Bombyx mori: one gene and its partner. The protein of the gene in region 1 binds, or shares a complex with, the protein of each later gene. Links are inferred from orthologs where the notes say so. Each region holds a gene or a part of one and is shown in the gene's direction. Other genes may lie near its edges.

The links.
Region 2: the proteins of protein FAM91A1 (region 1) and TBC1 domain family member 23 are in contact, whole or in part, in a crystal structure (PDB 8JJ9), measured with the Homo sapiens proteins. The link is inferred for Bombyx mori from reciprocal best matches to the Homo sapiens genes FAM91A1 and TBC1D23. Residues at the interface, in NP_659400.3 of Homo sapiens: Arg49, Glu60, Arg61, Tyr64, Asp84, Ile85, Lys88, Gly89, Leu90, Arg91, Ile92, Thr93, Phe95, Ser96, Ile159, Pro161, Tyr176, Ile177, Thr178, Glu179, Asp181, Ile182, Lys190, Asp194, Ile197, Asp198, Tyr216, Asn217, Lys218, Gly219; in NP_001186127.1 of Homo sapiens: Arg533, His534, Val535, Ser536, Ser537, Asp539, Val541, Gly542, Lys543, Pro544, Tyr545, Arg546, Val548, Pro550, Val551, Phe552.

What each region holds. Positions count from the first base shown.
Region 1 is NC_085125.1:2,177,145-2,180,976, forward strand, and holds part of protein FAM91A1, read left to right. Parts: intron 1-80; coding exon 81-258; intron 259-968; coding exon 969-1,102; intron 1,103-1,630; exon of another isoform or gene 1,631-2,049; coding exon 2,050-2,152; exon of another isoform or gene 2,153-2,207; intron 2,208-2,372; exon of another isoform or gene 2,373-2,511; intron 2,512-3,453; coding exon 3,454-3,555; intron 3,556-3,832. UniProt on the Homo sapiens protein: As component of the WDR11 complex acts together with TBC1D23 to facilitate the golgin-mediated capture of vesicles generated using AP-1.
Region 2 is NC_085118.1:8,948,357-8,952,696, reverse strand, and holds the start of TBC1 domain family member 23, read left to right. Parts: upstream 1-1,215; 5' UTR 1,216-1,403; coding exon 1,404-1,429; intron 1,430-1,831; coding exon 1,832-3,854; 3' UTR 3,855-4,340. UniProt on the Homo sapiens protein: Putative Rab GTPase-activating protein which plays a role in vesicular trafficking. Involved in endosome-to-Golgi trafficking.

The sequences.
Region 1 (3,832 bases):
CGAATCGAAGGCTCTGAAACGTCGGCCGTCTCGGTACGGCAAAATTCGATTCGACCCTGAAAACCTGATGTCGTTCTCAGACGGGGTCTGGTGTACGTGGACGTGCCCATAACGGCGGCTGATAAGGTGTCCGTCCCTCCGTTGAAGGGCTTCGTCATGAACCGTGTGGCCGGGGACTACTTCGAGACCTTGCTGTACAAGGTGTTCGTTTCCATCGACGAGCACACCGGGGTCGGGGAACTTGCTGCCGTCCTCCAGGTCGGTAGGAGATGTACCTTGACACGCTTTTTTTTACCGACAGACACCTACAACGTAAATACCGCCTTGAGATATGAGTTGTAAGGTCTCAGTTATTAGAGCACAACGGCTGCCCCATTCTTCAAACCGAAAGGCATTACTGATTCACGGCAGAAATAGGCAGGGTGGTGATACCTAAATGCGCAGACTCACAATTTTTTTTTATAGCTTAGTTGGGTAGACAAAACTCACAGCTTACCTGGTGCTAAGTGGTTACTGGAGCCCATAGACATCTATGACGTAAATCCGCCACCCACCTTGAGATATAAGTTCTAAGGTCTCAAGTATAGTTACAACGGCTGCCCCTTCAAACCGAAACGAATTACTGCTTCACGGCAGAAATAGGCAGGGCGGTGGAACCTACCCGTGCGGACTCACAAGAGGTCCTACCACCACGTAAATTATAATTTTGCGGGTTTGATTTTTATTACACCATTATTACACCTTCACCGTGAAAGTAAATCGTAAACATTTGTTAAGTACGTATTTCATTAGAAAAATTAGTACCCGCCTGCGGGATTTGAACATCGGTGCATCGCTATATACGAATGCACCGGACATCTTATCCTTTAGGCCACGACGACTTCAATGTTATCCGATATCCGATATATCACTCGACACAAGATGGACTCTCAAATGATGAAGATGGATGAAATTTGTTTTAATCAAAGGTTGACTGCGAGCTGGTGAAGCAAGCGGTGTCGCTGTACTGCCGGCTTGGGTTCGCGAACAACCTGCACCCCCCGCCCGTCTCCCCGCCGCACCCCTCCTGGAGCGACGCGGTCACGACACACACCCATCCGCCGTGAGTGTGACTTAGCGACGCACTAACATATTCTGTGCAAATTCGAGAAGAAAGCTCAAGAAAAAAAACAAAAAAATATTTTTTTATTGCTTGATGTGTGGTTGATCTCACAGCCCACCTGATATTAAGTGGTTACTGGAGCCCATAGACATTTTTTTTTTGTAAATTTTTTCCTTATTAGGGGAGGCAAGGGGACCTAAGCCCAGACAGCCTTGTCTGTTTTATATAATTTCTTAAATAAATTTTCAAAAAAGCCGAAGCCAGGTCTTGTATGATATATATTATATCCTGAAATAAAAAATTCATTAAGGCCGAAGCCAAGTCCTTTATGCCCATAGACATCTACAACGTAAATGCCGCCACCCACCTTGAGATATGAGTTCTAAGGTCTCAGTATAGTTAGTTACAAAGGCTGCCGCGCCGTAAATATCACGACACACTTGATATGTACTTGCAAACTCACTGATGTGTCAGGACACGGTGGTTGAGAGCCGCTGGCTTAACTAATGGAATGCAAAGTCACGTAAACTTGTTTCAATTCCATATATTCGTGTATTAAAAGAGATAACGCCATTAGAGTCTAATGTTATAATAATTATTCAACGATTTCAACTATTCTAATAATCGATGTAGATATGACCATTTTGAAGCCCTTTTTTTTAATTAATTTATTAATTATAATTTTATCCTTTACTAGCCGTACTCGCCCGCTTCGCTGGGCATTTAAAATTAACATTATTATTTATTATCATTATTATTAGGGAGTCCAACACTCATATAAATATTAGCCTATCTATTATGTACATGTATTTTCTACATGGATACCAAGCTTCAAGTCAATCGGATGTATGGTTCAGTAGTTATAACGGAACATCCGTAAAAATCACTGTAGATTTATATATTACTATAGTTTTTTTTGTATATGGATTAGCATATTCTTTGCACAGGTACCGACAAATAACACCTTTGACCTTTGACCCGGGAGTCGATGAGGAAACTCTGCAAATGGAACCGGTGCTTCTGAAAGACGCCCCATCTACTTCCAAACAGGTGTGTGCTTTTAATTCGAAACAATTGAAACGGCAACGTCCGAACTTTTATAAAACTGTAAAATACAAAAACCAACTTTATTGCTATTGTAATAAAGGTTATGTTTTATTGTTATGTTAAGATCGATCGTGTGGTCACTCACTTCTGAGTTGAGTGTTAGATTAGAAAGCTTGTAGGAAGAATTTGTGGAGAAGAATGAAGATCAAGATACTGCAATTACCTCATCAGTCTGCCTCACCAGAACGCTTTCAAGATACAACCACAGTGCGCTGGCTAAGCGTTAATGAAGTTTAAACTTTTTAAGAAACACAAACTGACGGCTAACCGCAGTGATAATGTATGTCTCTTATTTTTTTTACTTTCAAAATGTTGCACATGCTGCGGCAAAGCGTGGCGCGACACGACACTAGTCGTGCTCAGTTGGTAGCGCTGTCACCGAACAAGTTGGCGGGAGATTTCAAAGATTTGAACTTGGAAATCGAACAATCACTATTTGTCATTATTAGTCTATGGTGACAGCTCGGCATCATCTGTCCATATCCTCGAAGTATAGACCCTTAAGCCTTGTTCGGACTAGGCGAGTATTTTAATCCAGTACCGAGTAATTTAGTAGCCAAAAATTTAGTCTAGTAGGTTAGTAAATAATTTAGTCAAGTCAATCCATTTTGTTCTATTTTTTCAAGCGAGTAGCGAGTAGCTTAGCCACTAAATTAATCGGTATTCGACTAAAATACTCACCTAGTCCGAACAAGGCTTTAGAGTTACCAGGTCACAAAATCCCTTAAAAAATTGACCCTTAGAGACTTTTTGGCGGGAACGCGAGGAGTGAAGTTGTGTGATTTGGTTTTTTTTTGTCTATTTAGTGTTTCTTCAGGTTTAAATGTGTAATCACAGTGATTTATTAATTGTTTAGCATCTGTAAATGAACCCAAATGTGGGAAAATGAAACAAAGTCGCTGGACGTAAAAATGAAATGAAATGAAACGAGATGAGATGACATGGGATGAAATATAATCTTAGTAAAATGGTGGTCATTTACTGAGATTTTTTCAGTGGACTTTTTGGAGGATCCCGAAAAGTTACGTCCAGCGGCTTTGTTTCATTTTCCCACACCACCGTTATTAAAAATTTAATCCTGAAGAAACACTAAATAGACAAAATAAAACAAATCAAACAACTTCACTCCTCGCGTTCCCGCTAAAAAGTCTCAATCCTAAGCTTTTCCTTATAATCAGAATTGCTAGAGCTAGAAAACGTATTTTGGCACAATTTTATTCTGGATTGTTCTTATTTGTTTGCAGATGCATGAAACTCCTGAGGGATCCGGGGGCGGTGGCCGTCGGGTAGCCGTGCTGTTTGACTCGACACTCGCCGCGTATCTGATGATGGGCAATCTGTCACCGGTATAATAAAATTTCAATAAAAAAATCCTGTATTTCCTTATCCTTAATTTCCATTTCAAATGTGGTATTGGTTTGTTAATGTTTAGTTATTTATTGTTACGCGCTGGGGTTCGGGATAAATAAAATTCTACCAAACTACAACTAAAAAACTGTATTCAACATTTAGAACACTTAAACACTTCACAAGCACTTTAAAACACTCAACAAACACTTTAAAACAATAAATCTGCTTGTTCCGCTTCGCTTCAAGTGATCCGTTCGCTGTTTCGCTTCGAGT
Region 2 (4,340 bases), on another chromosome or scaffold:
GCGATTAGGGACAAATTCCAACTTTATGACCAATTTTAAGGTAGTTGTTGATGTATATAATGCTATATCAGGATCAAAATGATTGAGTCTTGGGGGCATCTTTGTTGTCCAATTTAAAACTATGCAACTAGCATTCCAGTTTAAGCAAAAAAAGCAAAAATATGTGTAATCCCTATTTACCCGGAAATTGCGGTTAATTGGGACGAAATGAGAAATTTTCTAGGGTGGGCACTACTTGGTTTTAATTTATTTATTTATTTAGTTGCACCAACAAAGTGATCATCAATAAAAAACATTGAAAAACGGACACTGAACAAATATTAAATATTTTATTATGTATTACTTAGACATTTTTGTCCACCTTGAGATTTCATTGTTCTTATTACATGTCTGTGCAAAATTGACTTACTTATATTAAATTGCTTAGCTATTTCAACTAAAGACTTATTCCCAATTTGGCAATTTCCCAATTGCTGTTTTTAATATTAAGGGATAATATCTGCACTCTTTGATACGTACACGCGAGGCATATCCAAAAATAGAAAACAATACGTAACTGATAATATAAATATTTACCAAACAATAAAATAACACATTGATAATTTTGAATAAAAGTTCTAAACAAAAACATCATGAATAAAAAAGATTTTTACCAACAAATCTAAAAAATATTGTTGTAACTACATAGACAACCCTAGAAACCTGTACCTATTTATATTTAGGTCGTTTCCATTTCACGTATTCTCATCCCAATTGATCCCTTTTTCGTTGTTATTTGTACCTAAAACGTCCCCAATATCCCCAGAAACAACAGATTTTTACATGTATTTTTATTTTATCAAATACATTAAAACCAATAACAACTGAGACTTATTTTTAATATACATGATGGTTCAAACACTAAATAACGTTTATAAATCACAGTCGTCTTCTATTATTATCAAATAAATAAAAGAGAGCAAAGTTTCTAGCACTAAAATAATTACCACCACAGGAAGTTAATTTGAAACGCGATTTTTTATAAGTTAGCAGCTATTATCATGCATATTCAGAGTTGTTTTGTAAACTTTCAACATTCTACTATTAAACTACAAAAAAATGGAAGATTTTGCAACGAATATAAAACTAATAATGAGCGTCGAAAGATTTTCTCGGTTTTTTCCCGATTCGCCTCTCAATCCCTAATCGTTCCATTTTACGGTACTGTGTTATCTCGAGGTTTGTATGTATTGTATACATACTGCATAGATAACATATTTGATAGGCTAACTTAAAATTACTAAAATTTGCAAAACTAAATTTCAATATTTACGAAATTGTTTTGATGTATTTTTCGCACGATTTGGAGCTCCATTGTGTTGTAGTTATCAACTAATTTAAATTTGTCGTGTCAAACGAAACAAATGGCAGGAGACGACGATGATACTTGGTAAGGAAATATTTTAGTTTTAATTTACTTATAATTCGGGATATTTGCTCATGAGAATTATTTGATCTTGTATCGTTTGATCTTAGTCCTCATAGATGAGGGCTAAGATTACTTCAGATACTACTAGTACAGTTTTGAGCATTTATCAGTATTTCACTATTGTCAAGGACGTCGTTTTGTTAATTATTTCATGACCATGTTTGCACATTGCAGTATACTTGCATAGGTAATTGTGTGAGATATCGTTAGCAATTATATATATAAATAGCGATTATACGTTATCGTCACCCTTGGAAAAATAATTGTAGTAAATTCTCATAAAAAATGCCATTCCTTCTACAATATTATATTTAATGTAAAATTTACTTCTTGGCACTAATAATTTTAAAAAAACTATTTTAGGTTGATAGAACTAGAGTCTGCTCTTCTCGATGGATGTACCGCACAAGAAATTAATGCATTAACGAAAGGAAAAAAAATACCTGTTAGCTTACGTCCTGATGTGTGGTTGTTATGTTTGAATTGTCAAGATGCTGGAAACCAATTGCTTTTGTTTGATGAGATATTTGACTTACCTAATCAGAATGAATTAAGAGATGATGTAAAAAAGTTTGTTGAAAAACTTGGCAATGAAGAAGATGATAAATTAGCAGTTATATCTGATGTTGAGTCAATAATCACATTTTATTGCAAATCGAAGAACACAACTTACACTTCAAACAATGGTTGGATTGATATTTTATTACCTTTGTTAAGTTTGAAGCTACCACGGTCAGATACTTATAATTTGTTTGAAAGGATTTTAAAATTGTATACACCAAAGGGCTGTTCAAAAAATGGAGTACCTTGCCATATATTAAGGTTGATACTTCAATACCATGATCCAGAACTTTGTTCATTTTTGGATACAAAAAGAATCACTCCAGAACAGTATTGTTCACCATGGTTGAAGTCATTATTTGCTGGTACATGTAGTTTGGATGTAGCTTTATACATGTGGGATTTGTATTTTCAAAGGTCAGATCCGTTCTTCATATTTTTTCTATGCTTAATTATGATCATTAATGCCAGAGAACAATTACTACAGATGAAAAATGATGATAAAACAGCCATTATACAAATTCTTACCAATATGCCTGCAGATTTGGAAGCAAATGATGTTTCGGATTTCTGTTCATTGGCTCATTACTACTCATTAAAAACACCTCAGTCTTTCAGAGATGATGTCTTAGAGGTCTTATTTTCAGAAAGTGAATTGGAAATAAATTCAAGACTGTACTCACAAGCTTTATGTCTGCCTGTAGCAGTTCATGAATTAATTGAAAGTGCAACATTAGAATTGGCAAATTCAGATAGTGTGAAATTCTTTTTAGTTGATTGTCGACCAACAGATCAATATAATGCAGGTCATTTATCCACCGCATTTCATCTAGATTGTAATTTGATGTTGCAAGAACCTGCAGCTTTTAATACAGCCGTGCAAGGACTATTAAATGCTCAAAGACAAGCCTTAGCTGCTGGATCACTTGCTGCTGGAGAACATCTATGTTTTGTCGGATCAGGTAGAACTGAAGAAGATAGTTATGCTCATATGGTGGTTGCATCATTTCTGAAGAGAAATACTAAACATGTTTCTATGCTTGATGGTGGCTTTGTGGCAATTCATGATTATTTTGGGCCTCATATGACAGATTGCCTAGAGGAACACAATGCATCAGCATGTCTTGTTTGTGTTCCAAATAATACCTCTGTTGGAATGAGTAAAAACGTAGCCAGTGCAACCAAAACTAGTGAGAATATGATTACTAAACAATTGTTTAGCAAATTGTCATCTGCCATGAAAGCTAAAAGTCAAGAAGTCAAAGGGAAATTGATAGAGTACATAGTTAACCCAAATTCCACATACAATAATAGTGAATGGCATGTGTCTGCAAATGATAGAAAAGAGCAAAGGTATAGAAATGTACCACCTGTATTTAGCATAAATGATGAAGATGAAGACTCACGGTCTGATAGTTTACGTCATGATCTTACACTTTCTGATTCTATCGAAGAAATAGTTAATGTGCAGTCGTTTCTTAAGGAACCAAATACTATTGATAATTTTCAATGCCAGGAAGTATTACTTAATGGATATATGCATGATTCTTATATAGTTGTAACAGAAACACACTTAATTGTTTTACGTGACATTCCAAATAAACGAGGCCTAGCAAAGATTATGTCTAGGAGACCTCTCTCTACTATAGTTAAAATAACAGCTAAGAAGAGGCATCCAGAATTAATTACATTTAAGTATGGTATTCCAGATGGTGATAATTTACTAATTAAAGATATGGATAGATTTCTTATTCCAAATGCCTCTGTAGCTACTAAAGTTGTATCAAATCAAATTGTACAACAGTTGGATAACAAATTACAGTGAACTATTAACATTTTCATATTGACTTAGTTCTGAGAAGTAGCTTATTTGCTACAAGTATAATGCAGATGCTTATCTAAGGACTAAGAATTATTTAAAAAAAAAACAACTATCATGTTAACTTGTATACATAGCCCTATCGGAATAAAATGATAAATGTTGTAATAATAGTAACTGCAGGTTTGTTTGCGATTAGTGGCAGTAAAAGCGCATTTATTTGTTGTAAATACAAAGAAATTAGCCTAAGAAATTTCAGGAATTTTAAAGTATTTTATTTCTTGAGTAATTTAAAACATTTGTCAGATTTTAATGAAATTATAGCAAAATAAGTGATTTTAATACTTGATCTTAAACTGAATTGGGGCTGCCAGTAGACTCAACTTACTTTAACTTCAGAGTCCCTGAAATTATACAATAAACATACACATTATAAACAGTAGATCAAAATTATCAATACTTATAAACTGTTTGATTGTCATTTTTATTATG